Linked DNA regions of Mus musculus. The protein of the gene in region 1 interacts with the protein of each later gene in a pairwise test. Links are inferred from orthologs where the notes say so. Each region holds a gene or a part of one and is shown in the gene's direction. Other genes may lie near its edges.

The links.
Region 2: the proteins of Rabl6 (region 1) and Spink7 interact in binary tests that used the Homo sapiens proteins (3 or more experiments, as listed by UniProt). The link is inferred for Mus musculus from reciprocal best matches to the Homo sapiens genes RABL6 and SPINK7.

What each region holds. Positions count from the first base shown.
Region 1 is NC_000068.7:25,578,504-25,593,751, reverse strand, and holds the end of Rabl6 (rab-like protein 6), read left to right. Parts: intron 1-844; coding exon 845-985; intron 986-1,348; coding exon 1,349-1,454; intron 1,455-5,039; coding exon 5,040-5,143; intron 5,144-6,124; coding exon 6,125-6,477; intron 6,478-6,733; coding exon 6,734-6,884; intron 6,885-7,918; coding exon 7,919-8,128; intron 8,129-8,215; coding exon 8,216-8,444; intron 8,445-8,807; coding exon 8,808-8,976; intron 8,977-9,590; coding exon 9,591-9,649; intron 9,650-9,763; coding exon 9,764-9,961; 3' UTR 9,962-10,735; downstream 10,736-15,248. Other genes in the region: Ajm1 (apical junction component 1 homolog), read left to right, coding at 13,855-15,248. UniProt on the Homo sapiens protein: May enhance cellular proliferation. May reduce growth inhibitory activity of CDKN2A.
Region 2 is NC_000084.6:62,587,722-62,603,498, reverse strand, and holds Spink7 (serine protease inhibitor Kazal-type 7 precursor), read left to right. Parts: upstream 1-7,234; coding exon 7,235-7,295; intron 7,296-8,223; coding exon 8,224-8,249; intron 8,250-9,134; coding exon 9,135-9,259; coding exon of another isoform or gene 9,260-9,263; exon of another isoform or gene 9,264-9,320; intron 9,321-11,040; coding exon 11,041-11,086; downstream 11,087-15,777. UniProt on the Homo sapiens protein: Probable serine protease inhibitor.

The sequences.
Region 1 (15,248 bases):
TTGGGGAGGAAGGGGAGGGGAGCAGGGCATGAGGACTGGAGAGTGAGCCTAGGACCTTGCATATGCTAAGCAAGTGCTCGACCTCTGACTATAGCCCAGTCCTGGCTGGGGCTTCACAAGCCATTTGGAGACATTGGGATGGCTTATAAAGTGCAACTACAGGGCACCCCCACATTAAGTCAGTCCTGGAGACCTGGAGACTTTGTAGACAGAATGGTCTACCCTGCAGAATAAGGAATGTCCTAGAGACAAACGCGTCACTAAGGACACTTCAGTGATGGTAACCAGGAGGCAAGAGCCAACAAGCAGGGAGAAGTGAATGAGCTACAACCCCAGCCTCAGTGTGAAGCAGAGCTGAAGGACAGGTTACCTTAGGACATGCTCAGTTCAGAGTGATTCTACAAACAGGTGAGGCTCTGGGCAGTTGGGGGGGGGGTAGAAGGAAGGGGGAGGCTAGGGGGTTGTGTGATGGAGACCAGAGGACAGGCTATGAGAATCAGCTCTTTCCATGTGGCCCCAAAGATCAAACTCAGGTCATCAAGCCCAGCAGCAAGCACTTCTATCCACCAAGCCACCCCACCAGCCCTTGAAGCCAATTCATAGCAACATAGACAGGTGTCATACCAACTACAGACAAAAGAACAGGCACCTTGAATTGAGGTGTAGGGGAACTGCTCTCTGAGAGAGGCAGTGACCAGAGATGCAGCTGAAGGTTGTAGCATTTGTTCATCTCTGAACCCTGCCTGAGGTGACAAGTGCTCTGGGGAGTTAGACCAAAAAGGTAGTACATACAGCTCTCTGAGGGTCACACAGCTAAGGCAGAACACTCCCTCCCTTTTCAAAGGACCTTCAATTATGTTCTCCGGGAGCTTCCCAAAGTGCCAACCCATGTGCCGGTGTGTGTGCTGGGCAACTACCGTGACATGGGCGAGCATCGAGTCATTCTACCAGACGATGTGCGGGACTTCATTGAGCATCTGGACAGGTGGGTGCTACCACTTTTGCTCCTGTGACGTGCTCTGGTGGTGTTGGGGGCAGCACAGGCAGGGTCTTATCCTGTGTTGGAGATAAGATGACAGCACCTAGCCAGAGAGGGTAAGGAATTCCAGGTTTCCACGAGATGGTAATGCTGCAGAAGATGTGAAGACCATATGCCAGGACTATGGGGCCTGCCTGGCTCTTGTCTGGTTCTTCAGACCACTCCCAGAGGAGTATGCTGTAAAACATCCTTAGGAGCTGGCTGCCAGAAGGAAGCTTGGTGGCGGGATGCGTAGGCTTAGGTGTGACCCTTGACTTTGAAGTCAAGCTACACTGCCCATCAAGTTCCTTTATCTTTCTTTGAAAACAGACCTCCAGGTTCCTCCTATTTCCGCTATGCTGAATCTTCCATGAAGAACAGCTTTGGTCTAAAGTACCTGCATAAGTTCTTCAACATCCCATTTTTGCAACTACAGGTAAGTGCGTACTAGGTAGGGAAAACAAAAGGGTAACCATCATTTTTGTGACTCTGCACAAGAAGTGCCCTGCTTCCTAAGCCTGATAACACCCTTGGGCACCTTCTTGGAAGCTGGCTACTGATGTATGTAATGAGCTGGACATGGCACACACAGTACTCATAGTGGCGGCCAAGAGTCTGGTAACATGTCCTGCTCTCTAAGGGCATTGGAAGTCAGTACAGCCTGTAGAGGGAGCCCTTGTCCCCTGTGGGGCACCAATTGAAGTGCATACCTCATTTCCCAGATAAACAGATAGCTATGGAGGAAGTCCCAGTCACAACAAGTCTTTCAACAAGAGGCAGGTTCCAGGGTATGCAGTTTCTGTGACTACATTCACGTGCTGGCTGTGCTCTGGGAACCATGGCCCTCTGGCCAGCTCATGAAAAAAGGAAAACCTGTACCCTTGCTACAAGCATCTAGCCTTCCTGATACAGCGGAGGCAAGTAGAGTGGCCTTCAGGGTGAAGAGCTGCACCTATCCTGCTTTTTAATTAGTGCTCCTCTTGGAACCTTCTAGATGTATAGAAGTGGCAAAGGCTGTATGTGGAGGCACAAACCTGTAATCCCAGCACTCAGAAGGCTGAGTCAGGAAGATCACTTCAGGTTTAAGGATACAGAAAGAGGTTCAATAAGAGGGAGACCCACCCCAAAAACTCATAGTGGTACATGCCAGTAATTCCAGTACTTGGGAAGTAGAAGCAAGAGGATCAGAGGTTCAGGGTCATCCTTTCTATATCACAGGTTCAAGAGCAGCCTGGACTCCCTTTCTCAAAAACAGAAAAGGTGGCAGAGGTAGTAAAAAAATGGCCATATCCCCACCCAGTCCCTATTGCCTGCAGTTTGTTTCTACATTTGTCTAAGCCAAAGGACCAGTATCATTCTATAGACTAAAGGTTCCAACTAGTCCCAATTTCTCCCCAGAATCCTACCCTGCTTAAGCTCTGGTCCTTGTCTCTGGTCTTGAGGTACGCTATAGCTTCTCAGAGCTAGGAGAGCAATAGACTGTGGAAGGTGGAACAAGGCTCTGGGTTCTAAGCATAAGAACAGAGAGAGGGCCAATCCCTGATCCACATCCCTTTTGGGACAAACAGCTTTGTATGGGGTCTCTGGTGAACAAGAAAAGGCTAAACAGGCCTGGCTACCTTTCTGGACCTGGGTACCTGTAGCCTCCCCTGCTCTTAGGAACCCTTCATACTTTATCCAAGACATCAAACTCACTTAGAAAGGTGAAGCTTTCCTTTCCTCCTCTCTTCCTCCTTTTGAGGAATGTGAGGTTCCTGCAGGGGTGGCTATGATAGGAGCCTCTACTAGAGGCCTTTTGGCTGAAGACTCCTGTTGAGTCACCAAACTTCTTCTGGGGAGACATGCTTGGGATAACATGCTTGTCTCCTCAATCCAGTTAGGGATCCCAAAGTATGGATACCACCAGAGTCCAGCTTGGTGAACCAATGAGTTTTGTTGGGGTAACTTATATCCATATGAATGAGGAGTTCCTTACAGGAGCAGAAATGAATCAAAGACTGCATCACCAAAGCCCACCCAAGCATGGGTGACAGCTCACACAAGCTGGGAACCTGGAGCACCCTGCACAGCCTTCCCATGCAACGGTCTGGTCTGGATCTTCTTGCAACCTTTCTTCTCTGAGATTCAGCTTTTATTGCTTATTGGGCCAGGAGGGCCTAGTCAATCTGGTCAGTTTCAGGGACTTCCTGAAACTATTTTCAGTTGTTTGCCTTCTTGTTTAAAGAGCTCTGCAGCATGGATGTTTCAGTTTAGGAGGAAACCGTTAACCAAACTCCTCATACTGCTCCATTCTATGAAAGCTTTACCACTGACTTAGACCAAGGGAGATCAAGGGACACAAAGGGATGCCAGAATAGTCATTGGTGCTAAAAGCCTGAGCTGAGACCCAAACCAGTATAGCTTTCCTCCATGGTTATTTGCAGGGAACCTGATGGCCACTGTCTGCTGGCAGGGTAGTGGGTACCTGGAAGCACCCATGGATTGAAACATTCCATATTGGAGGGGCTGGCTGGTCTTCTAGAGAATGGCAGTTCAATACACAGCATCCACATGTTGGCTCACAACTGTCCGTTGTCAAGGGATCTGAAATGCCTTTCTGAGCACCAGACATGTACGTGAAACACAGACGTAGCTTGCAGACAAAACATTTACATGCATTAAATAATGATGTGGGAATGTAACTCTGTTAGATTACTCGCCTACTATGCATGATACCCTGGGTTCAGTCCCTAGTACTGTACAAACCGTGTGTGGCACAGTCTGTAATCATAGCACTGAGGAAGTGGAGGCAGGAGGAAAGGAAGTTCAGCATCATCTTTAGCCATATAGCTAGTTCAAGGCCAGACCCTGGTACAAGAAACATTAACCAGTCTTATTTTCAAAAAAATTAAAAACAACAAAAGTTAGGTGTGGTGACACACGCCTTTGATCCCACTGCTCAGAAGGCAGATGTAAGTGGATCTCTGAGCCTTAGCTACAAAATGAGTTCCAGGACAGCCAGGGCTTCACAGAGAAACAAAACACCATGACTCCACAATTATTTGAATCACCAGTTATTGGTCAGTATTCAGGGTAAGGTCTAAATAGACTGTATGCTATGTATGTGATGTGGCTGTCTAGGCTGCTCTTGGTATAGCACGAGTTCACCTTTAAAGTAGAGCCTCGTCAGTCTGTGGTATGCCTGCTTGTTAATCCTGAGTGTTGTTTGCATCGTTCTTGTGTATCTCTTTTCATTTTTCAGAGTATAAACAACTCCCAGGTCTCTTGGTCTGTAGTTAACTCCCACTTTTTCTATTCGATTTGTTTGCTCTGTGCTGAAAGGACCCCACTGTGAGCCGGGGGCAAGCCCTGTTTCTCTGGAAGGCAGTGCCTGTCCACCAGAGCCTCTTCCAATTAGGAACACAGTCCTTACACAGCCTGAAAAGCTGCTGATTTTTAAGATTTTTTTTTGTTTGTTTTTTGGTTTTTTTGGTTTTTGGTTTTTCGAGACAGGGTTTCTCTGAATAGTCCTGGCTGTCCTGGAACTCACTCTGTAGACCAGGCTGGCCTCGAACTCAGAAATCTGCCTGCCTCTGCCTCCCAAGTGCTGGGATTAAAAGCGTGTGCCACTGCCGCCTGGCTAAGATTAAATTTAAATGCAAGAAGCCATGTTGACTGACAGCCTTGGCAGCTGGACTCAGAGACTTGATTTGATCCGCTTTGTTCATCCGACTACAAGTATGCGGTTTACCCAGGCTTACCTGGCAGAGCTTCTCACCTAGAGTTGCCCCGAGAGCTGCCCCTGCACCTTAAGCGCCTGTTTCCATGGTTTTGTGGCCTGATAGGCTATTGTAGCCAACAAAACATGCTAGTGACCAAAGATGTGGAGCAGAAGGTGGCACTTTCTGGTGTGGTTCCCCATGACCTATATCCTCCAAGCCATAAAAGCTGAGCTTGCAGGCAGCCAGACCTCATGTCTCTCACAGGAACAGGCGGTAGAATGGGGAAGAAGCATACTCAGTTTTGTCTACTTCCTCTACAGAGGGAGACACTACTGAGGCAGCTGGAGACAAACCAACTAGACATCGATGCCACACTAGAGGAGCTATCAGTGCAGCAGGAAACCGAGGACCAGAACTACAGCATGTACGTGAGCTAGCATCTACAGCTATGCTGGCCTTCACTACCCTGAGCGGGGAGGATGGGTCCTGTACCCTGTTGCCAGTAGGCCCTAGTGTTCACAGATAAGAGCTGAGTGCCAGACTTTGGTCTGAATCTATGAGGCAGTGGAGAAAGCACCACATACAATCAGCCTGAGTGTCCTTCAGCCAAGACCTTAGCAGTACTCAGTGTAGAGCAGTGTGGGGAGCATCGGACTAACACAGCTCAGCAGCTCCTCTCAGCGGTCTAGGACCTGCGTCCATGCTATTTGTCCTTGCCCAGAGCCCTTCCTGTTCACCTGTTGGGGTATAATTATTAATATGAGCTAATTAATAGTCAGATCAACATTTTTCTAAAACAGATGGACTAGTACTTTGAATTGAGCTATGCTGGCCTGGGAGCAGCCTCAGTCTCCCTACATCCCCTCTCAGTTCTTATAGAAAGTGAGGACAGGTACTCCTGAAGATGGGTTGTGTCGACTCTGGCACTCTACACCCCCAAGTACTTTGGAGCCTACAGAACTTACAAAGTGCTTAGACATACGTTATGGTTCCTACGTGTGGGTCAGCACATGCCTGTGATGAGAGCCACTCCTCGTGTGCGATTGCTAACTTCCTCACTGACCATAACCAGCCACACTACTTCACTGTTGTTTGGCTAACAGCTACTGGCCTACCCAGATTCCACAGGAGTGGGTGGTCCTGCACCTCTGCTGTGCAGCTCAGTTCCCCAGGCTGAGGAAATGCCAGTGCAGAGGGAGAGCATGGGCTTGGGAGCTACAGTGCTAAAGAGACAGGATAGGCAAGGAATTAGTCTGGGTACCAGGGACGGGACAGTTGACTGGCAGACAGGCCCTATCCTCTGCCTAAATATAAATGTAAAAGACACACTGATGCCTGAAAACCATGGAAAAAGAGGGCCGAGAAGAAGCAGGTTCCTCACTCCATGCCCTTTTGCCCCTCCTAGCTTCCTTGAAATGATGGAGGCTCGAAGTCGAGGCCACGCATCCCCTTTGGCAGCCAATGGGCAGAGCCCATCCTCAGGCTCCCAGTCGCCAGTTGTGCCTCCAAGTGCTGTATCCACAGGGAGTTCCAGCCCCAGCACACCCCAGCCTGCCCCTCAGCTGTCTCTAGGTGTCTCCTCCACCTGTCCCTCAGCACCATCTCCTGTACCCTCTTTGGAGGCCATGCCCTCCTCTGTACACTCTTCAGCCCCAGCCCCAACCCCAGCTCCAGCCCCAGCTCCAGCCCAGCGTCGCAGTATCATCTCTCGGCTGTTTGGGACCTCACCAGCTGCAGAAGTGACCCCTTCACCTCCAGGTAAGCCTGGGAGCAGCTCTCTCATGTGAATTTGGGGCCACCTTCTGGCATCTTGAGCTTCATATTCCTCACTGGAATGTCCCTATGCCCCTGAAAAGTCACATGGGCCAGCCAGTCCTTAGCCTGGTTCTAAAATAGCCTGGACCTTGAGCCTGGGTGCATGCCTTGTTAAGTCCCAATCCCACAGGCACAGTTTTAGGGCTTGCCTAGCATGGGGGCAAGGACCACATAAGGAAGAAACAGCATTTCTCTGTAGAGCCAGCTCCAGCTCTCGAAGCTCCAGCAAGAGTCCAGAATGTTGAGGATTTTGTCCCTGAAGATGGCCTTGACCGAAGCTTCCTGGAAGACACAAGTGTGCCTAAAGACAAGAAAGTTGGAGCCAAAGGTCCCCAGCAGGATAGTGACAGGTAAGGGTCAGATTGATAGAGCTGAGCACAGGGTCCACCTCAAGGACCAAGCAACAGAGCTTCCCCATCCCATTCATACCTGGGTCTCCAAAACCCCATTGTGGGCACAGCCTCCGGTGCTTACTAGGTTGGCAGTTAGCTTTGAGGACAAATGGAGGAACAGAGGGAAGGGCTTAGGTCATGTCAAAGCCCACTCAGTACAATCATTGCCATCCACCCTGGGGAATACAGACAAAGGACTTACCCGGGACTGAGGCAGAGTTTATGGCCACAGCAAACTAGAGAACATTAAGCTAAATCTTCCTAGGATAGCAGGAGCCTTGACAGATGGCCTATCAGGGATACGGGCACTCTTTTTTTTTTTTTTTTTTGGTTTTTCGAGACAGGGTTTCTCTGTGCAGCCCTGGCTGTCCTGGACCTCACTCTGTAGACCAGGCTGGCCTCGAACTCAGAGATCCACCTGCCTCTGCCTCCCGAGTGCTGGGATCAAAGGCGTGTGCCACCACGCCCTGCTAGGGATATGGGCACTCTTGAAGGCCCAATCTATGTGTAAGGTATAGTGAAGGCCACCTGGGTCTCCATATAGACCCAGAGAAGCAAGCCCTAGCCAGGTCTAATTTCCTGCAGCTAGCCCTTCTCAGTCCCTTCTCTGAATTCTAACGACACTTGAACATCTGTCTACAGTTAAGCCTGAGATTATTCCCTCTCACAGATCAAATGTTGAGTGACTGTTATCATCTCCAGCATCACCATGTTGTATGGGACCAAGGGCTTCCCTTCCAGAAACAAATAAATTAGGGGCTTCTCTCTGGACTCCTCCCACTGATTCTGTCACTGACCAGCAGCAACTAGGCAGTGCTTCCCTCACTATTTAGTCCCCCTCTTGACAGCAGAATACCCCTGTAACAGCCCAGAAGGTCTTGCCACTGGGATATGGTACTACAGACAGGGCAGCTCTACAGGCAGTGGGGTGGGTAATCAGCAACACACAGCCCCCTCAGAACCTCTGACTGCCTACCCCCCCCTCTTTGCAGTGACGATGGGGAGGCCCTAGGAGGGAACCCAATGGTGGCAGGTTTCCAGGATGATGTGGACATAGAAGACCAGACACATGGCAAATCCCTGCTGCCCTCGGATCCCATGCCCAGTAAGAACATCAGTCTCTCAAGTGAGGAGGAAGCCGAAGGACTGGCAGGCCACCCTAGAGTGGCCCCTCAGCAATGCTCAGAGCCTGAGACTAAATGGTATGGGCTGGGATTCCCAGAGTATGTCCAGCTGAGGTGGCAACCCAGGGTGGCCTCTGAGTTCCTGACATTTCTTCTTATGTGAAGGTCCTCCACCAAGGTCTCACATCCACAAAAGAAGAGAGCTCCCACGAGAGGCACGCCACCGTGGTCAGATGGTCTCACCACTGATGACTCTGAAAGACCCCAGGAAGGGAAGGACAAACAGGTGTCATCAGAGAGTGATCCTGAGGGGCCCATTGCTGCCCAGATGCTGTCCTTCGTCATGGATGACCCAGACTTTGAAAGTGATGAATCAGATACACAGAGGAGAATGGTAAGGACAGGTGCTGACTGGGCAGCTCAGGCACCATCCTTCCAGAGCTAGAGGACAATCAAGAAGGTCTGTTTCCCAGAGCCTGACGAGAGGCAGGAGAATGTTCCTGGCTCCAGTGCCCCAGAGGCACAATCCTTTCTTATTTACTGTGTGGCTGAAGCCTGCTGGAGAAAGTGAATGAGAGTCCATGGGAGAGGGCCCATTGTCCACATGAAGGCCCTGCTGATCTTTCTGAATCTGGGTCAGGTTACCCCTCCCATCCAGCCCTAGCCCCTGGAGTCGTAAGTGAACTTGCCAACCTTGTTTCCCAGATCCCTCGGAGTGGTCAGGGCACAATCGGCCTACCAGCTGCTCTCTTTCCAGGGCAGGTTTCCAGTAAGAGAAGACCTCTCTGATGTAACTGATGAGGACACTGGCCCTGCTCAGCCACCTCCACCTTCCAAGCTCCCAGGTGCTTTCAGACTGAAGAATGACTCCGATCTCTTTGGGCTGGGCCTAGAGGAGATGGGACCTAAGGAAAGCAGTGACGAAGGTAGGAGGGCCTGGAACCTGCTGGATCCTAGAGGTCCTTGTCTGTGATACTCCTGTGTTTACATTTACATTGCCTATGGTTTCTCTTTTCACCACAGTAATTAGCTGTGAGATTGGTGAAACTGTCACACCAGCTGGCAAATGTGCACCCAAGTGTGGTCCAGAATAGTCATCTAAACACTGTCACTGTCACTCTATCCATGGTTCCCTATGGGTCCTCACCTCTACCAAATGTTCTACATTCCATGCTTTCAGGTGTCCCAAGCCTTTGGGACAGAATTCTTTTGGGAGGGGGAAAAAAAACCACACAGGCTAATAAAAGGTTACTGCAGGGAGAATACCTGGGAATCTCGGGCCGGCCCAGGCTGCCTGGAGAAGTCCTTGGACTTGGGCCATGTCAGCCCAGCAAACAGCTTAGGACTGTACTGTCAGGTTCTCAGCCCCATAGGGAGGGGAAGAAATTACTTGAAGGCTTGTTCAAGACTCACCACCACAAAAATACATAAATTGCCTGTGGGACCACGCCCTGTTGGGAATGGGGTCTCTGCAGCAGTGCCTCTGCCTAACTCTACAAAGTGGTAGCAGGTAGGAGCTCAGCTGTCCTTTTCTGTGCAGATAGAGACAGCAAACTTCCCTCTAAGGAGAAGAAGAAAAAGAAGAAGAAAAGCAAAGAGGTACCTACTCTGTCACTAACCTCCCAACTAGCCAAGCCATCCAGGCTCCTAGAATGTGGGATTTAGCCTTGTGGGTTGCCCATTGACTCTAGTTCTGCTCTTCATGACCTTCAGGAGGAAGAAAAGACTACAAAAAAGAAAAGCAAACACAAGAAGAGCAAGGACAAGGAGGAGGGCAAGGAGGATCGGAAGAAGAAGAGGAAGCCCCCTCGGAGCAAAGAGCAGAAGGCTGCAGATGAGCTGGAAGCCTTCCTGGGGGGTGGGGCCCCTGGCAGCCGCCACCCTGGAGGTGGGGACTATGAGGAGCTCTAAACATGCCTAGGGCAATTGATTGTCTGGGAAGAGGTGGGCTGCCAGTGGCTGGGAGGCTGCTGTCTATGCACCCACATTCCCAGGACCACCCTGCCACCTATGTCCCCCAGCCATTATGTCTGCCCCCATGTGGTCTGGCCCACTCTACATTGTTTTTTGTGCAGAAGACCTTGGTGGTGTTCAGGCCCTTGGGTCAGGCGCTGCAGGTGCTGGGCCTCAACCCAGCAGAAGCCTGCTCTGCAGGGAGGGAGGGGACAGAATAAAGTTGCAGCTGGCTTGGTGGATCACCTGGCCTCCCAGAAAGAGCTGCAACCAGTCCCCGGTGTTTCTCAGGGATGTGCCTGGGGCCGAGAAGGGACCCACCAGGGTCTGTTTACAGAGGCAGGGCGTGGGGCTGCTTGGCTTCTCTAATGCCCACCACCCAGCCCCACTCCTGCTTGCCTTCCGGGGCTCTCCCAGAGCCACAGCATGGCTTGGGTTGTGGACCTTCTTCCCCATGGATCCAGAGTGGCACAGGGTCCTGCCCTGAGCACAGATGTGTCATGTGTCACTCAGGAGGGCATGGCAGCATCTGCTACTGCAAAGTGGCCCAGGCCCCGCACTGGGTAAGCCTGGCAAGAGAACACAATGTACCACTTCTCCTGTGGGAGAGGCACTAACGGGCTGCCACTGTGTGCCAGCTGCGCCTCTGCCCGCTGAGCGCCTGCGCAGGTGAGCCCAGAGGGCACCTTCTTAGACACTCCAGACCCATACCATAAAGCTCTCTGATTTTACTGTGGTGTGTGACTCTTTTTCTGGTCCCCTAAACAGCTTGAGATGAGGCCAAACAATGGACTAGGTGCTGTTAAGCCAAAATTCGGCCCAAAGGGTGGTCTGAGGACTTAGTACCTAGCCATACCATGTAATCCAGAGGACCAAGGTGGCCATGGTTCAGGGCTTACCACCACAGGCTGATACAAGGTTACTGCAGGGAGAATACCTGAGAGTCTCAGGCCCTGGGGCCCTGGTAAGGTAGTTGTGTCCTGCTCTGCACTGCCTCCCTGCCTGCTGGGAGTCTGGGGGCGCCTGCAATTGAGAATTTCGCCCCCGCTGGCAGCTCTCCACCCTCGCCCACTGTGGACACGTTGCCATGAGAACCCTCCAGAGGCAGGCATTTATCACTGCTAGTGACGTTGGGGGTGGAGCATAGTGCTGCGCCTACTGTGGGCCAAGGCTGAGAGTACTTCCCTAGAACTTGTGGGGGTGCTATGAGGGGGGCTTCCCTTTTCTGCTAGGGAGCTGTGTACACAGGACAATTGATAACTGAGCAGGCACTATGGGACAAACATTACCTGGCCCTTTAGCTCCCAGACTTTGTACTCCTGATGTAGAGAAAGGGTCTACACGTAAATTACCCCCACTACTGCCCAATAAGCCGTAGCACCGGGATCTTGCCAGGTCTGGTGCCTAAATAGGCAGGTCTGGCATCTATAGCCCATCATCTACCAAGCTAGGATGCTGGAAGGCCCAGTGCCTCTGGCAAGAGGCACGCAGGGCCAGAATGAGGTTGTGGCTTAAGAAGTGAACCTCCTGAAGACTTCCCCCAAAGGAAGCAGGCGGTGGCCACCCAGGCTATATTGGACACTGGAAGTTGCAGCTACACTCCAGGCTGAGCAAGCCATCTGGCTCCCGGGCACCTGCCGAGATTTTGGCGTCTTCAGAGCCAAAGAGGACAGTTCCTGAGGAGAGGCCAATGGGCATCTGCTCCCACCCAGGTCCAACCACAGACGTGTATTCTGGAAACTTCCCCAAACCCAGTTTCTCTAAAGACAAGCCAAGGTTTCTGGCTCCTTACAGGACCCTGCCTGGAATCCTTCTGGCAGGCTTCTCTTGGTGCAAGGGACTCCCTGTTCAGACCGAAAGATTTGTGCTTTGGGGATGCTATACATTACCCTTCACTCTACACCGCCTAAAATGAGAGCTAGGTCGTCTGTGGTCCCAGTATACACCTACCTTATAACGCGGCCCCTTTAAGTGCTATTCTATTGGTAGCCACTAGGGGCAGTACTGAGCCGCCAGGCCAGGATCACAGCTGCTGCCTCCAAGCTTCTGCTGGTACCGGGTGTATGTATATATATATATATATTTATAGCGGGGCCAGGTACACACTGGGACCGACCTGGGCTATGCAGACTACTCGGGCTCGGCTCGTGGAGTAATCACCAGGTAAGAGGCCAAGCCAAACTGCCCAGCATGTGGAGCTGTTGGCACGGGAGGGGGCTGCACGGAAGGATGAGGAGTCCCCGCCCCCAAGCAACGCAGACTAGGTTCTTGCTGATGGCTGCTCCAGGACGGGCCAAAGCAGGACTGCTATTTGGGAAGGGCCTTCAAAATACCTAGGATACAAGAGCAAGCCCCAACCCCATCCCAAAGGGAGCGTGTGTCACAGTGCACTGCTCCTGACAGCTGCAGCCAGCAAAGCCGACTGTCACCTTCCTGGGGCGGAGCCTCAGACCCTGTCATCTCACCCAAACTCTGACCTGGCACTGAGTTTAGAATGAAAGGGGTCTTAATAGGGTCGGCATGAACCTGGGTTTGGAACAAGCCTTGGTACTTAGTAGCTCTGACTCCAAAGAGCACCCCTCTAACAGCCCCTTGTACACCTGGACTAGAGACCCGAAAGGCCCATCCACTTACAAGTCCTGCCAGGCCCCAACACACTCTCAACTTCCTCTGGAGCAGATGTCCTGGGAGTAGGTGCATTATGGGGGGAGGGTGTGTGTGTGTGTGTGTGTGTGTGTGTGTGTGATCGCCTTCTTAAACCCTCTTTCTCTAGCCAGCTCCAGGCCCTGGAGACCACAGACACTGGTGGCCCACATCTGAACATTAGCCTAGATCGTTTTCAGCCCATAGCTCCAGGGATGAACAACCACACGTTTCCATGGAGCTTTCCAAAGCCAGAGTGGGAAGGACTCTGTCCTGGGGAGGGGCTTTCCCGCCCTCTCCTCTGCCTCCTCCTAGCTAGCAGCCTCCTGGCTTGGTACACTAGTGGTAGTTTTCAGCTTAGAGGAAGGACACCATGAACTCGTGGCTCACATGGCCCCACGTGGTTCTGTAGCCTAAACCTGGCTTTAGCACACACTGGGGGTGGGGGAAGGGTCCATGTGCAATTCTGCAAAGCAGGAGAGTCTTGCTGTAGCCTTCTCTGTTCCAGCAAGCTTGGTGGGTTTCATTCAAGCAACTGGGGTCCAAGATTTATGCAAAAGGAAGAGGGATTTGAGACCCAAGAAAACTCTGGGATCATTCCTCTGCCTAGGACCTCATCGAGTTGAGGGGACTTACGCTTAGTTAAAAAGGACTTGAGTGCTAGGAGAAGAGTTCTCTGCCCAGCCTAGTCGGCAGGCAGGAACCATTCATTGACTCACCTGGGACTCTGCATTATCAGAGGGTCTACCTGTAAGGAAATCTAAAAGTGCATCGTTCCAACTGTAGGCACCAGAGGGCAGTAGTGCTGAGATCACGTCCCGCTTTGATCTACCTAAGCCTGCCCAACCGACCCTAGTAGGGGGAGAGAATGCCTGGCAGGTTTAACTCAGGAGTTCCCTCTACAAAGAAGGTCCACAGTAGCCTAAATTCTCCTGGCCCATCTACCCCACAGGTCGCATGGACTGTGAGCTTTCTCCTGCAGGTACATCTAACATAGGCATGGAGGCAGCACCAGAAGCCTTGACCATGACCTGCAGCCAAGGCTGCACCATCCCCTATGCCCCAGGTAAGCCGGACCAGCACGTGGGGTGGGGTGGGGTAAAGGGCTTGGGGTGCAGAGGAGGCTGCCCTGACCGGTATCTCCTCCCAGGGCAAAATCCCCGAAAGGCCGTGTGACTGGAGCTGCCAGCCTGGGGACGTCTTTTAAGATGACCCGCACGGACCCGCCGGACTTGCTGGTGTCGACCGTGTACCAGGACATCAAGGTGGTGGACCCAGGGCTCACGTCCAAACGCCAGCCATGTGAGCGATCCGTGGCCCGGCCTGCTGCGCCCACGCCTTTCAACAAGCGCCACTGCCGTAGTTTTGACTTCTTAGAGGCACTGGACGAGCCCACCATGGAGACACACCCAGAGCCGCCACCTCCTGAACCTGCGCCACCGCGCGCCCGACCCAGAGACAGCGAGCCTCGGCGCCGCACCCGTTCCAAGAGCGCGCCCCGTGCGTCCCAAGGCCTGGCGACTGCTCCAGCTTCGCCGCCCGTACTGCAACGCAGAGGTCGGGAAGCCCAGCGTGCAGTGCGGGTGGAGGGGTCGCCGCGCCGGGAGCCCTCGTATCCTGCGCTGAGAGCTCTCGCTAATGAGCTGCACCCCATCAAGCTCCAGCCACAGCGGGGAGGCCCCGGACGCATCGCGCCTCTATGCGCCACCCCAGGCCGCTGCGCACCACCGGAACCACCCTCTGGACCTGTCCCCCATGTCCGCTGCCGTTTGGACATCAAGCCGGACGAGGCAGTGCTGCAGCACGCCGCCCGAAGCTCGCGATCTTGCGCACCTAGAGAGACGACGTCCTGGGCTCGCACAGCTCCACAGTTCCATGGCCTCACAGTTCCCGGCCCTCGCCACGTGGCCCTGTCACGCACTCCTACCCCCAGTGACTTGTACTGTACTGACCCCAGAACTCTGTACTGTGACGGGCCACTGCCTGGGCCCCGGGACTACTTGGAGCACCGCAGTCAACCCTTCACAACGCCTCCAGGTCCCACCCAATTCTTCTACACCGAGGAGCCAGAGGGCTACGCAGGCAGCTTTACCACAAGCCCCGGCCTTCCCTTTGATGGCTACTGTTCCAGGCCCTACTTGTCCGAAGAACCCCCTAGACCCAGTCCAAGGCGTGGGGGCAGCTACTATGCTGGCGAAGTACGCACCTTCCCGATCCAGGAGCCCCCCTCCCGCTCCTACTACGGGGAGACAACTCGAGCCTACGGTATGCCTTTCGTTCCCCGGTATGTCCCAGAAGAGCCCCGGGCGCACCCTGGAGCCCGCACTTTCTACACCGAGGACTTTGGGAGGTACCGAGAACGCGATGTACTGGCTCGGACTTACCCGCACCCGCGCAGCAGCCCACCCTGGGCTGACTGGGGTCCGAGGCCTTACCGCACCCTTCAGGTAATGCCGCCTCCCGCCCCTGGACCACTGTTGGCCTCGTGGCACGGCGGCACCGGCACAAGCCCACCCCGGCTGGCCACCGATAGCCGCCACTACTCTCGATCCTGGGACAACATCCTAGCTCCTGGTCCTCGTCGTGAAGATCCTCTAGGACG
Region 2 (15,777 bases), on another chromosome or scaffold:
AAGCCCAGGCCTTTCTATGATACTCTGACAGAAGACAAGGATATGAGGAGTCCCATAAATCTGGGATCCCCATCTGGAGGGAAGAAACCTATGGTCTCTTTTTATCTACAGTTTCCTAGCATTTAAGTGTCCCAGTCAGCTATGCTATAGAAATATTACACAGGTTAAAAAATAAAAACTTCATTAACTTAAATTATGTGCTATTATAAGTAGAGTGATACAACCTCACAGCATTATGTTACAACTCACCCAGGATATGAATCATACCTTTCTCTTACATACCCACACAACATATAGGCTATTAGACCATTAGTCATTCTTGGTTGTCAGATGTGCTGCTGCTGTTGTGCATCATATTGTTCCTATCCAAGTAGCCACTCTGCAGCAATGAAGCACAGCATTGGGACATCTATATCATTCACTTTATCTTATCTTAGTGCATCATCAAACATCACCATGCATTAGCTCACATGCAATACCATAACGTGTATCACAACCCCCATTAGGATATGTTTTGCAATTGTTCTGTTGTATTACCAGTTGTTATTATTGTTCATCTCTTATACTTACTTCATAAAACTTTATCATAGGCAGGCACACATAGGAAAAACATAGGGTTGTACAGATCCAGGCACAAACAGAGGAATAGAAAGCACCTTGAGAAAGTTAAGGGGAGTTCAGAGCACTCGGGAGTCACACTTCTCCCATTCCCAGTCTCCAATATTATTTGTTTATTGATGGAATGAGTCAAAATGCAGACCCAGGAAGAAATGAATTTGCTGGCATTTTCAGGAGGCCAGTTTGGCTAAATCATGAAACACACTGTGGACAGGAGAAACACACAGGGAAAGGGAAGAGTAACAAAGGTATAATTATACTCTGGTCAATAAATGAAGGTTAAGTAGGGTCATAACAATGGGGCTCTAATCTAGTAGGACTGGAATCCTGATAGGACAGACACCCAGGTGTATGTGCTCAGAGACTAAACCATCCAAAGTGTTCTGGAGTCCAAAGATAGAAGCCTCAGGAGAAACCAGCCAAGATACAGCCTTAAACCTGGGAGAAAGGAAAGTTCTGATGTTTAAACTCCTTGGCTTTTGGAATTTTATTACAGCATCCTTAACTAATACATCATCTCATGCTGTCTGACTGTTGGGTTACAGGCAACCTTTCAGCTCCAAGCATAGTAGATGTGATGTTTATCTATTGCTCCTGACAGTGATGTAGGTACCCACTAATATCCAGATATGTGATGTGAATCAGAAGGGAAATTGTTGGTTATAGTCTATTCTCATTCCCTTGTCTACTAGCTGGAACTATTTACTGATGTGGATCAGGCCATTCTTTAGTAATAGGATCCTGAAGGGGAGATGCCAGGATAGGTGAAAGAAAAGACAGAAAATAGAGAACATAAAAGCTGAGTCCAGAGGTCTTGTGCACACTCTGTCTTATCCCAAGCAAGCTTATTAAGAAGTATAGCATCTTATGTACAATGTTCAAGGGAGAAATTGGACAGAATCACGAGAAACTATGATACAATGGGACAAAGTCAGCGAGGAGCTAACCAAACATGGGTTATCTTAAAACCTTATAGACCTATAGCCTTGTGTCTTAGTCAGGGTTTCTATTCCTGCACAAACATCATGACCAAGAAGCAAGTTGGGGAGGAAAGGGTTTATTCGGCTTACACTTCCATACTGCTGTTCATCACCAAGGAAGTCAGGACTGGAACTCAAGCAGGTCAGAAAGCAGGAGCCAATGCAGAGGCCATGGAGGGATGTTCTTTACTGGCTTGCCTCACCTGGCTTGCTCAGCCTGCTTTCTTATAGAACCAAGACTACCAGCCCTGAGATGGTCCCACCCACAAGGGCCTTTCCCCCTTGTTCACTAATTGAGAAAATGCCTTACAGTTGGATCTCATGGAGGCATTTCCTCAACTGAAGCTCCTTTCTCTGTGATAACTCCAGCTGTGTCAAGTTGACACAAAACTAACCAGTACACCTTGGGACTGATAACCACAGTCCCTATGGTGCAACGAGATGTGTTCTCAATGTATGAAGCCACAGCTACCCAAGGCCCTGGCCACAGGCCAATAATGACAAACTCATTCCTGGTTTTGAGAAGGAACTGTGTTCCTTCATACATCATGGTCTCAGGGAAAACTCCGGTTGACCAGTCAATCATCAGTGGCTCAAAGGAAATTGAATGCAGCTGATACACAGGACCCTTGGTTTTGCAAACTCCCTATTCCCATAAGCAACTGGAAACAGCCCTGCCACACACAAGGCCAGAATACCAATGCCCAGATCCCTCAGGCTCTGTCTTCTCCACACAGAGGAAGAGCAAGATCCAAAGTGCAGGCTATGTCAAGAAAAGACAAGAAAGGGCAAAGAAAACTGAGCCAGCGTAGGAAGGTAGACACTGAATGAACAGAGCAGAAAAAAACCATGGCCCAGAGCTGGCTCAGCTGAATGCATTGACCACAGTTTGAGATGGTCCCAAGAAGGCCTTGAGGTTTTAGGAGGTATGCCTTGTGGGTGTCATAGGGACAGAGTTCTGGGGACCGTGGTCAGAAGCCAGTATGGCAACAAGCAATGGAGTGAAGGGGAATAAACAGCAGAGTATGAGTCTTCTCATTCTTCACACTTTATATGTTAATTTGGGGGTGGGGTTTTTCTCTATGTCATGCTAGGCTAGGACTCAGAATTTCATGAGTGGTAGGCAACTGCTTTACCCTTGAGATAGAGCTATAAGCCCCACCCCCAGGATAGATTTTCAAGTTAATGTTAGTAGAAGCAGAGGCAGCAGAAAGTTCTAAGAAATAAAAGACATTTCATTTTGTTATGCTGTTCTTTACATAGACAGGTGTATAGGGTAGGGTAGGAAACAGTGGCGCTGGGACTTCCCCCACACAAGGACCCTCCCTCCTTCCAAGTGAACATCACACATGGAGAATTCCACACACTCTGACCCATGGCCCAGCCCATTCTGCCACTCATTTACAATGTCTTCCTGAATGCTTTTAGTTTCATGTTTATTATTTCACTGGTCAGTGGAACTCCAAATCTACTGCTTCTGCCATACACTTCACTACAATAGCAAAATTAAAGTGTATCTTCTTTAGCTTAAACTGCTACTCTTCTAAGTCCTAGTTCTTATCTCTGCTAAAACAAAGCAACTATTTGAACCTATCTCAGAGGCTCGTTCTAAGTTTGAGATGAACTAACCCTGATACATAGACACACAGATTCAGTACATACTAATGACTTAATGTACATTAGTTCTTACGACAGTCCACTGCTATAGACATTGTTCTATCCCATCTCTGATGCAATCTCTCTTATGTCCCTCCAAAGATCTGGCCCAGGAACACCTCAATCAATCCTTATTCTAACATAACCCTGAGCCATCCTATTCTTTCTTGGAGGGGGGTACCCCAAATCTGGTTAAGAAAAAAATGTGAAACTTTTGTCTTGGCATTTATGCTTTTGCATTGATTGTTCACTTTCTCCCACTGCATGGTCCCACAAGTCTGTTCTTCCTACAGGATTCAAGGCTTTGAATCCTTTGAAGGCACACACTGAGAAACGAACAAGCTGCCTGTAATCTGAAGAAAGCGGCTTTTCCACACCAGAACTTCTTCTCCTAGTGTATAGTTCAGGGTTTAGAGTGAAAAATCCCCACTCCACAGACATAGTTTCCAAAACCTGTCAAACCCCATAGCTGATCCCTTGACCTCGCTCCTCCTCACAAGGAGTCTCCACCCATCGGCCTCTGCTTTGTTTTTGTAAAAACCCAGAGTATCATGACCCTGGCCCCACCCTTGACAAATTCAATCTGATGTTTGCCTCCTAGCCATAGCCTACATAAACAATTACTTACATTCACCATACCTACCAGGTCCGCATTTTGTTTGAAACTTGACTTTTCAGAGTCTAACAGGAGTTTCTCTTCCAAACCTTGACACTCCCTAACACAAAGATATGCTTGTTGGAAGTCACAGATCTGCTCAGTCAACATTCGTAAAACTCACTCTCCCGCAGTTTCCACTCTGTGTCGTATGGATTTTGAGAGAAGTGCACAACAAGCTACTAATCAGGCTGAAGCATTGCCTAATGGCCGTCAGTTTCTATATCCATTTAGAATGATCTGACATACTCCCAACAATGTTGGTGCCAAATGTCTTCAAGCTACAGCACGCCTCCGTTCTTCTGTTGTCAAAAGCAGATTATGATGGGCTTCATTTCCTAATCTTTCCAAATAGCAACCTCCACACTCACCTACTTACCGAATCATCTGCCTTCTATGACAGAGGGGATGGCTTCACCTATGCCTTCAGCTGGTGTCTTCCTTTTATAGGGTTCTGGTTAGCCACCATCTGCCCTATGTCTTTATTTGCCCTTGGCTTTCAGAGACTCAGTATATGAAAGACTATGCTGAAAGAAGGCAATGGTTCTGCCCTTTCTCTTTTTCTCTGATGCTCAAATATCCAAAAGAATGCTCTGTAAGCCTTTTTTGCTTAAAAAAAAAAAAGGTAGTCCTTTTTCAAACTGCAAAAATTACAGGTCACCTTGAAACATGGTGTCTTTCTGTTGGTATTCTCTTTTATTTGGTTTTACGAGACAGGGTTTCTCTGTGTAGCCCTGGCTGTCCTGGAACTCACTCTGTAGACCAGGCTGGCCTCGAACTCAGAAATCCACCTGCCTCTGCCTCCTGAGTGCTCAGATTAAAGGCATGTGCCACCACGCCCGGACTCTGTTGGTATTCTTTATCTGTAATCTTTCATATCAGACAGGAGAAATTAGGACTGCTTGTCCCTATTAGGAACATCAGCTCTTGCCGGTGACTCTGCTCTGCATATTGTCCTTCAGTAACTAGAATCATGATCTTAAGAAAATTATGTCTTCAAATTATAAGTTGATAAAATTAGGGCAATAAACTGCCTAAAAATTGCATCCCACAACATTAGCTACCATATCAATATTCAATTAGGAGCCTAGAACTTGACACGGCACACACACATGCACACACAAGAATTATATACACCAGGCAGTGGTGGCACATGCCTTTAATCAGTCCCAGCATTTGGGAGGCAGAGGCAGGTGGATTTCTGAGTTCAAGGCCAGCCTGGTCTAGAGAGTGAATTCCAGGACAGCCAGGGCTACACAGAGAAACCCTGTCTCGAAAAAATAAGAGTTATATACATAGCATATTTTAGATATTGGTATTCTATTCAACAACATGTTGCACATAGACTCACAGTCCATGAAGAATATAATGAAGTTGAAAAATATCCCCATGACCTAGGTCTTTTTTGGCTATTGTAGCATGACTTTGCCCCATGAGATACATATTAGTTGTGTTTCACAATGATGAGATTATATGCAGTGATGAAATGTATTCAGCTCAACCACACTGCTAGTCATATAAAAGCACATAGCATACAACTATATGTGCTCACAGTACCTGATATAATGAATAAGTAACGTGTATGTTATATACTGTCTATTATTTTACTACTTATTCCTTCTACATATATATAAAAAAGTTTGCTATAAAACAGTATAATAATGTATTGTTTCAGGTAGTCTTATATAGCTCAGATTGTTTCTTAATGGTATTATAAACACTTGTTCCTTAATCTCATCTTTTTTATTCAAATTGTCCTAGAACAAATGAACTATAATATATATGTAATTTTATATATGCCCACATGTACATGTTCATATATACAGATTATATGTATGTATATATGACAGCTTGGGTGTATGTATAATTGTACTTTGTGATTTTTATACAATAAAATTATCAAGACATGCTACCCACCTTCTGTGTGTGTGTGCGCGCGCGCGTGTGTGTGTGTGTGTTTGAAGTTATACTTAACAGTCCAAAATATCCCACAAGGTAAACATGATTTGTGTTTCAGAGATAAATCAATATCTCTCAAAGTTAACTGACATATTCAATGGCTTTAAATGAACAATTCAAATGAGATCCACAATATACAATAGTTACACTTTTAACAATATTGTACTGCCTTCCCTGAAATATGTTAAGGTCTAACATTTAAGGAGAGGTGATGTCATTTATAATTTGTTTACTATTATTTGTAAATGCTATGTTTCAGAATGTACAAAATTAAGCTTACTACACAATGAGCTTTATATCCTCCTGTCTTCTGGGTTTTCACACATCTCCTTGAGTTTGACAGACAAATAGCAGGCAGTTGGATAATTGTGCCTGGACAATGCAGTATATAATTTAATGTTTGCCAACTACTTGTACTCATTCTTGTGTTGACCTTCTGGAGACATAGTAAAAATGACCATATCCATTCCATGTCCTCTACGGCTGGAAAAGATCATGAGACTAATAGCCATGTGTCAGGGGAGAACAATGACAAGGGTATCTCTCCTGGGATGTAACATTTACTTCGTAGCTGGAAAGGGACACCATCTGGGATATGTCTTCACCGCACTGGACAGCGTTATTCTAAACAGTGACAACATTGCCCATCTGGCAACCAGAGTACTATCTATGCATCAGCACCACAGAAGCGCCCATTCATAGAGGTACAATCTGTAAGTTATAGAAATCTCAAAAATACATGTAACCATAATATGACCACGCTTTTCTGACTAGTACAAGTTCACAGCTTCATAAATGCCTTATCCAAGATTATATAGCTGGGAAATGCCAACACCTTTCTCAAAGCCTCATAAGTCCCAAAGATGTTAGAGTTGCAAGACCCCTGAATGTTTAATAGGTTCCTTGCTTGGAGAATGAGACTGTATTGTCTCGGGAGCCTAAAATGTGGATATACCATGGCTTGGCTGTGTTTAAAACCTTACATTTGAGTAGAATAAATCACGCACGTAATATTCTTTTGTTTCTTATCTAAAACAAGAAATCCATGCTTGATCTTTTCTGTGCAAAGCTTAGTCTAAGTAACTGTCTTCACTTATGCAACAGATAGAAAAATACTGTTCACCTCAGATCACCCACCTGTCAGTGAGTAGGGACCCAGAATTTGGCTGACAGGTGTGGCAGCACCATTCAGGGTGTGGCGTGCTTTGCGAGCCACTCGGGTCCTATGCTGACTTTGGATGAGCTCACAGGAAAGGTGGAGAAACCGAGGCTTGCCATATAAACCTGACCCCTCGCTGAGTACATGGCACATTCAGCTTCAAGCCAGTCTCGCATCACTAGCCTCTGCATCACAGAGCTCTCCACCATGAAGCTTGTTGGTGGTCTCCTGCTGCTCTTCGCAGCAACCTATGTCTGCAACTGCTCTGGTGAGTTGGGTAAGACGGTGTCACATACAGTCCTGAAGATTTTATTTTTCATGTACTTTCTCCCAGGATCTAAGCTGCTGACATAAATATCTGATCAAGTGGATTTAAAGTGAGAGAAACAGATCTGATCAGGGAGAGGGATCGTGGTTCTGGCTGTACTTTGAGGGATTGGAATCTAATCTCTTCCCTTGCAAGGATTCTTACTTGGCACCCATGGACCAAAAAATGTCCTAATTTCTCTATAAATATTTATTGTGTAAGGATACTTACAGCTGTGTCAGTAGATGGCTGTTCCATGGTGCAGAAATACAGAGGTCCTTAGGTGTCTTCATGGATCCATATAGTAGAATCTAACTAAAAGACACTTCTCTGGAGGTCTCAAGTTAATGATTTTGCTTTTAAATTGTGAAGAGGTATGTAGTTAAAATAAATTTCTAACTTTTTTAATGATATCTAATTACTTTACTGTTTGCTTGTTTGTTTGGCACAGGGTTTAACTATGTAGTTGTAGGTGCCTGGGATTTGCTACGTAGACTAGGCTGTCCTTGGACTCACAGAGATCGGCCCGTCTTTGCCCCTGAATGCTTTGGTTTAATGTGTGCACCACCACATCTACCCCCTATATCTGTCTGTGTTGATTAGGAGAGAAAGTATATCAGAGATAAGGCTTCAGTAGCAACTGGCTTTTTGAAATACACCATAGCCTCCAAAATGAATAAATAAATGTGCCTTCCTGATTCAAGGGCTTACCCATTGGCTGTTCAAGTCCCTAAGCAAACTGCTGTGATTTTGCATAATGATAGGGTCTATGCTGAAATTCATTGCCGGGGGAAATGAAATGTCTTTAACTGAAGAACAAATCAGCTTTGAGTAATGAAATCCCAGGATTTGCTCTGTTTGTAATGCTTTCATTGTATTTTCCTTTCAGAAGTTACTAGCCACCCTTCAGCAACAGTAAGTATGTTGAATAAAAATTTTAATTTCTATTGGCTGTCTCTTATTCAACAAATATCTATGAAAGATCAATACATCGCTCATGTATGATCATTTAAGGAAAGCAACAGAGGAGACAGACACAGATGGAGAAACGTTTTCTACATTTGTAAATGGCCAATATAGTAGAATGTTTCTTACTCGCCTCCTGAGTATTAAAAAAATGGGATTTTATGCAACAAAAAGTTAATTATGTGGAAAGAATTCATCCTCCTAGCTAGCCCATATAAAAGATACACAATCCGGGTATTTTATTTATAAACTGTAAGCCTGGATTGGAGGGTTGGAGCTATACTAACTTACTCCCCAGCTATAAAGTCCCTTGTTACTTGCTGTTTCTCCTAGCCATGTGCTCATGTCCATGTCCTCTCATGGCTGCCTCCTCCACCTTTGTCTTCTTTCTTCCTCCTCTGCCTCTACCAGCAACCTCCCTCACTGGATCCTTGAGTTTCACCTTTCTCCCTCCACTGCCCAATCACAGGCTCTAGCCTTTTATTGACCAGTTAAAATGAGCAGCAAGGTTCACATAGCATCACTTGGTGTAGGTGAGGATCTGTACAACTTGAGAAGCCAGTATTTCACACTAGAATACAAGCGCCATCAGACCAACCCCCTACATAATTGTAAGGCAAAGAAATGGCCAGCGATTGCTCACCAAGTGTGGCATTAAAAACTAGGAAGGGTTCTGGCACTACTGGTATTTGTCATGATGATGATGCCACTCTTTATAAAAGCAATTTCAACAGCATCAGAACTGCTGAGATGTATGTAGCCTGTCTAGTTGACCCAATGTAGTTATCCTTGTGGTATTTGAGAAAATCAGGACATTCTCTTGTGTCTGACTAGGTGGACTGTGACATATACAAGAAGTACCCAGTGGTGGCCATCCCTTGCCCCATTGTAAACATACCAGTTTGTGGATCTGACTATATCACTTACGGGAATAAATGCAAGCTGTGTACAGAGATCTTGTGAGTATCAAATACAAAGAAACAATGTCTGGGAACCATGTTCTCTACTCAAATCCTTCCCCTTCCCAAGATCCCTCTTAACTCCTTACGGTCTACTTTTTCTCATGCAGAATAGAATGTGGGAACAAAAATTGGCCAACTCTTCTGCCAGCTTGAACTGCTCTTATCCGGCTCACAGATCCAATTGTTGTAATTCTGAGTTTAGTTCTTGATTTTTCAGACTCAAATTTGCCTCTGTAATCTAGAGGCAAGTCATGAGTTACCAAAACTGGCCATTTGGAGTGGCCCCCAAACCCAAGTTCAATTTTCACTATTTTATGAAGTGGAATTCCATACAACTTCCTATTTTTAAAAGGTCTATGAATAGGTAAAATGCACTATCCTATGTGATTTCTAAAATACTATGCACTTTTAATGCATCTGGCCTTTAGTCTCAGGTTCCTATAGACTCTAAGCATCAGTAGTCTTAAATGAGATAGCCACTGAAATTGATTGACTTTCCTTTTATCTAAAATGAGGGATGCAGGCTGAAATTAGTAATTCAAAATCCCATCGACGTGGTTAGTTTAGGTATTTTGTTTAGTCTGCACAGTGTTTGGAAGGATAGTTATTAGGCAAATACCATTTACATTTTTAAAATGTAAAATGCAACTTAGCACTCTTGCTATCATATACCAAATTTAATTTTTATTATTGCTAACTATCTTTTAGCAGTGATACTTATGTTGGGACACTTATCTCATGTCCAGAGTTCTCTTTATTGTGATTATCTTTTTTTATTAGATATTTTCTTTATAAACATTTCAAATGCTATCCCGAAAGCTCCCTATACCCTCCCTCTGCCCTGCTCCCCTACTCACCCACTCCCGCTTCTTGGCCCTGGCATTCCCCTGTATTGGGGCATATAAAGTTTGCAATACCAAAGGGCCTCTCTTCCCAGTGATGGCCGATTAGGCCATCTTCTTCTACATATGCAGCTAAAGATACAAGCTCTGGGGGTACTGGTTAGTTCATATTGTTGTTTCACCTATAGGGTTGCAGACCCCTTCAGCTCCTTGGGTGCTTTCTCCAGCTTCTCCATTGGGGTCCCTGTGTTCCATCCAATAGATGACTGTGAGCATCCACTTCTGTGTTTGCTAGACCCCGGCATAGCCTCATACAAGACAGCTATAACAGGATCCTTTCAGCAAAATCTTGCTGTGCAATATTGTCTGGGTTTGGTGGCTGATTATGGGACGGATCCCCCAAGTTAGAATCACAGGTTGGGTCTGAGACCAGAGAACATGCCTACATATACATTTATGTTTGGAAAGTTTCATTTCACAAAAGGAAAGATTCTTTAACCCAGACACATCTACAGCCCTGGACCATGAAACTGGGCATGAGGTCCTGAGAGGGAGACATGGTAGAAGGCGTCCTCACTATTACAGTATCCAGCTGCATCCCTGCCCTGCTGACCAGGAAGAGCCGAAAGATAGGCTACGTCAACTCCTTTTGTGGAGTCTTCTTTGTTCTTTTGCTACCTCAAGTAATCCTCCTGCCTCTGGGATCAGTGGAGGAAGTGGATGGGATGGAACCATGATTGAAGCAGAGAACTTCTGCTCTGTGGCAACAGCATGGTGCTCTGGAACTCAGACTCGCCATTTTGTGGAAAGAGGTTCTGCTACGCAGTCCTGTTCTTAGCCATAAGGAGGTCCCACCACCACTTTCTTTGTTTTTGTACTTCTTCTCAACTTCTGTTTCTGCCTTTGTTTACTCTTGTTGTTCATGTCTTCCCTCAGGAGAAGCAATGGAAAAATCCAGTTTCTTCATGAAGGGCACTGCTGATCTCTCCATGGACATAGAAAGAACAGCGATGCCTTCATCATGTGCGTTACAGATGGGCTCTGATCGGAGTCCCTTCTCTGTTGATGTTCTGGTGGAGTCGGATCTAGATTCAGTCACCATCACTGACTGTGGAAAGTCCTTGTGATCATTCCTATCAACTTGTGTCTCCTAATATAATACCTGTTTAGTCATCTGAATTAAAATAAATCTCTCCAGAAAGTTTACTTTTACTTCAGTTTGTATTTGATTCAAGGATGAGTTACAGAATTGCAAATATAACGTAATTTGAGAAATAGACAATAGTTGTTGTGCAGGAGACAGTTTTGAATAATAAACACTGACTGATTTTCAAAACAAAGCACACCCCAACACGCACAGATGTTCACTTCAGTCCTCCTCACTTCCAGTCTGTAACTATTGACTATGGATGGTATTCATGTTTATTTCTATCTTTTTATCATAGTTCCAGAAACCAAACTTCTTTCATTCTAAAAAGTCATTCCCGGGGATATGGTTTGTCCTTCCTTCCTTCCTTCCTTCCTTCCTTCCTCTCTCTCTCTCTCTCTCTCTCTCTCTCTCTCTCTCTCTCTCTCTCTCTCCCTCTCTCTCTCTCTCTTTCTCTCTCTCTCTCTCTCTCTCTCTCTCTTTCTTTCTTTCTAAGCATTCCATAGCTTCTGGAGCAATCTCCAACAAAATACAGAAGGAAAAGTTACCACCCCATGGGAAAATCCAAACATTGATGTAGAAGTCCTATTATATGAATGCTGTACTTACCTATAGCTGAAAATTACATCCACAAGACCATCACCAGCACACCTAGTAAGACCTCTAGATAAAGAAGTTTGCTCCTTTCCCAAGAAATAAATTTCCAAATAGCTGAAGATGAGAACTAGGTCTTCTTTAACACCTACTTTCTCCAAAGAGCTGGGGAGATGGATCAGTTGGTAAAGTGGTTGCCAAGCAAGCATGAGGACATGAGTTTGATTCATAGCATCGATGTTGAAAACCAGTAGTGATGATATGCACGTGTTATTCCAGGGCTAGGGAAGTAGGTACAAGTGGGGCCCTGGGGCTTAGTGGTCAGAGCATCTAACCAAACCAGAGAGGCTGAGGACCTATCAAGAAGCTCTAAGGAATTAAACCAAGGTTAACCACTGTCCTTCATTCACACATTCACGTGTACACACACCATGTGTGTGCCAACAGAAAACACTTAGTATATAACACACATAAATAATAAACTAAGTAAAAATTTTACAAGATTAAAACTACTTGATTACTCTATAGACAGAACACTTCAGAAGTGAGCTTATCCCTTCAGGTTTTTTTTTTTTTTAATAGAAAAGAAAAGGAGGAATGTTTTTCATCAAACTTTGAAAATAAAACCACAACCTTTGGAGAGCAGGGAATACCATCCAGTCCTCCACTGAGGTATTCTGTTAGCCCTGAGTACCCTCTACATGGAACAGTGGAGCTGTCTTCATCACCGTCCTGTTGTGTGTCACCTAGGATTCTGTAACACTATTTTTCCACCCATTTACTGAGCCTGGGTGATGACCAGGACCATATGGCTTTCACTTTCTATCTGTGTCTGAAGCCATAGGATACCTACAAAGATGGGAAATGCCACCATCCACTGGCTGGTCTTCTATATGTCTCTTCAAGGTCCTGGGATGTGGCAAGTATGGCACTATGGAGACTGTGAGAAACGGCATAAGAACAGTCATGTGAAGTATGAGAGTTGAAACAAGATGCAAGAGCATCATACCTCGTTCCACTTCTCACAGGGATAATTTTGTCATGTGACTTGGACGTTTTGCTGTTTGGCACATGTCTGTATGATGCTACTGGGGTTCACTAATTATCTAAGTCAAGCCCAAGAATGGCAGCCACTGGCCTGTGATTACAACATTTGGTGAAGGTAAAATTGATCTGAGCTGTGGCTATTCGCAAGAGTGTCTCATGGAGAGCAGGAGCCAATGGTGGCCTCTACTTTTCTTAGAAATTGACGAGTAAGACAATATTCATCATGCACACACATGCCAGAAGCCTCAGCCAGAAGACCTACTCACTACTGAGCCGGTAGTAAAGAAACAAATGATACAGTGATGGTCACATCTTGGTCCAGTCTCCTTGCTCTGGTGGTATCACTTTTCCTTCCTGGAGGAAGTCTCTGAATAGTCATAAACATCTTTTTTTTTTATTAGATACTTTCTTCATTTGCATTTCAAATGCTACCCCAAAAGTCCCCTATACCCTCCCCCCTGCCCTGCTCCCCAACCCACCCACTCCCACTTCCTGGCCCTGGCATTCCCCTGTACTGGGGCATATAATCTTCGCAAGACCAAGGGCCTCTCCTTCCATTAATGTCCTATTAGGCCATTCTCTGCTACATATACAACTAAAGACACAAGCTCTAGGGGGGTACTCGTTAGTTCATATTGTTGTTCCCCTAATAGGGTTGCAGACCCCTTTAGCTCCTTGGGTACTTTCTCTAGCTCCTTCATTGGGGTCCCTGTGGTCCATCCAATAGATGACCATGAGTATCCACTTCTGTATTTGCCAGGCACAGGCATAGCCTCACAAGAGACATCTATATCAGGGTTCTGTCAAACAATGAATTCATGAATTTCATAGGCAAATGGATGAATCTGGATGATATCATCCCGAGTAAGGTAACCCAATCACAAAAGGACACAAATGATATGCACTCATTGATAAGTGGATATTAGCCCAGAAACTTAGAATACCCAAGACACAAGTTGTGAAACACATGAAACTCAAGAAGAAGGAAGACCAAAGTGTGGATAGTTTGTGCCTTTGTAGAATGGGGAACAAAGTACCCATGAAAGGAGTTACAGAGACAAAGTTCAAAGCTGAGATGGAAGGAAGGACCATCTAGAGACTGCCTGCCCCACCTGGGGATCTATCCCATAAACAACCACCAAACCCAGACACTATTGCATATGCCAGTCATGAACCTTTTTATGGAAGTATTAGGACTGAATACATCCACGAGCATCTGTAAAACATCAAAAAGAAATGAGGAACGTGATGAGGAGGAACCAGGATCCAGGAACACAAAAAGACTGTTCACTGGTCACATACTTCAGCGTCTTCTTTGTTTTCCCTTGTGCTCATCCCTCCATTTACCAGTCATCTCCAGAGAATCATTTCTAAAGCAAAGACCTCATCCCCCATTCATCACTAGCGAACACTTTGGTGAGTCTTGCTTCCTACAGCCTTCTGGTACCAGCCTCTCCCTTCCCCAAACCATCCTCTCCATTTTTTACTCTCCCCCAGTTTAGTCCCTGTCTCTCTCAGAAATTCCTGTGAACATGCCAAGTCAGCATATGCTTATACCTCTTCCCAGCTTTCTGGCTTCTGTACCACCTTTCAGCCCTAACGCTATCTTCTCTAAAAGGTTTGACCTCTGGGTTTCTCCTAGATTAGCTCTTTTTTGAAAAAAAATATTTTTATTTTAAACTCCAGATTTTATTCCTCTCCTGGTATACCCCCATACCACATCCAATACCTCCTCTCCACCCCCTGGAGCCTCCAGTCTCTTGAGGGTTAGGTGCATCTTCTCTGAATAAACCCAAACTGGGCAGTCCTCTGCTGTGTATGTGTTGGCGGGGGGGGGGGGGGGGGGGGGGCTCATAAAAGCTGTTGTATGCTACCTGGTTGGTGTTTCAGTATCTGAGAGATCTCAGGGGGTCCAGGTTTATTGAGACTGCTGGTCCTCCTACAGAGTCAATCTCCTCAGCTTCTTCCCTGTAATTCAACCACAGGGTTTAGCAGCTTCCGTCAATTGATTGGGTGCAAATATCTGCCTCTGACTCTTTCAGTTGCTTGTTAGGTCCTTCAGAGTGTGGTCATGCTAGGTCCCTTTTGGTGAGTGCTCCATAGCCTCAGTAATAGTGTCAGGCCTTGAGGCCTCCCCTTGAGCTGGATCCCACTTTGGGCCTGTCCCTGTACCTTCTTTTCCTCAGGCTCCTCTCCATCTCCATCCCTGCAGTTCTTTCAGACAGCAACAATTAGATTAGCTCTTACAATATTATACTTCCATTCTAGTCACTATCTGCCTTCTCTACTATGTTGAGAACCACTCAAACCCACCACGGATTGGATTTCACTGCGCTTCCACTTTACCTGTTTCTTATAGGTTGGCTTCAACCAGTGTACATAGAATATATAATGCTCTGCCTAGTAAGTAGTTAGCCAACAAATGGTGGGTTTAAGAAACAACTGCAAATATCCGTGATTGTCATAGATTTCCTGCTAACTACATAGGTAATTTTGAACTTAATGGTTTTTTTCTCACCTCTATCTATCCTAAGCACCATCCCGCCTGTTATTGCCCTGAGCTACCACATCTGTCATACCAGAAGTCAACCAAGTACCTTGACTGTGACAGAGTAAAAATATACAACCACCTATCAGAGACTTTGGAAGATCTATGCCATTTTCTGATTTGGATCAAAAAATACAATGTTTCTCTTCTGCTTTTGTGATTCCTCATAGCAGGGTCCTGGTTTTGGTGATCTTGTTTATTTTTCTTCTACCAACCCTATAGGTAATGGTGCCTTACTTGAATATGTAATGTTTAAACTTTCAGAGAAAGAAACATTAAAACAAATCCGATTTTGAATGTATATAAAACTATACACTCACTATTCTAATGCCTTAGA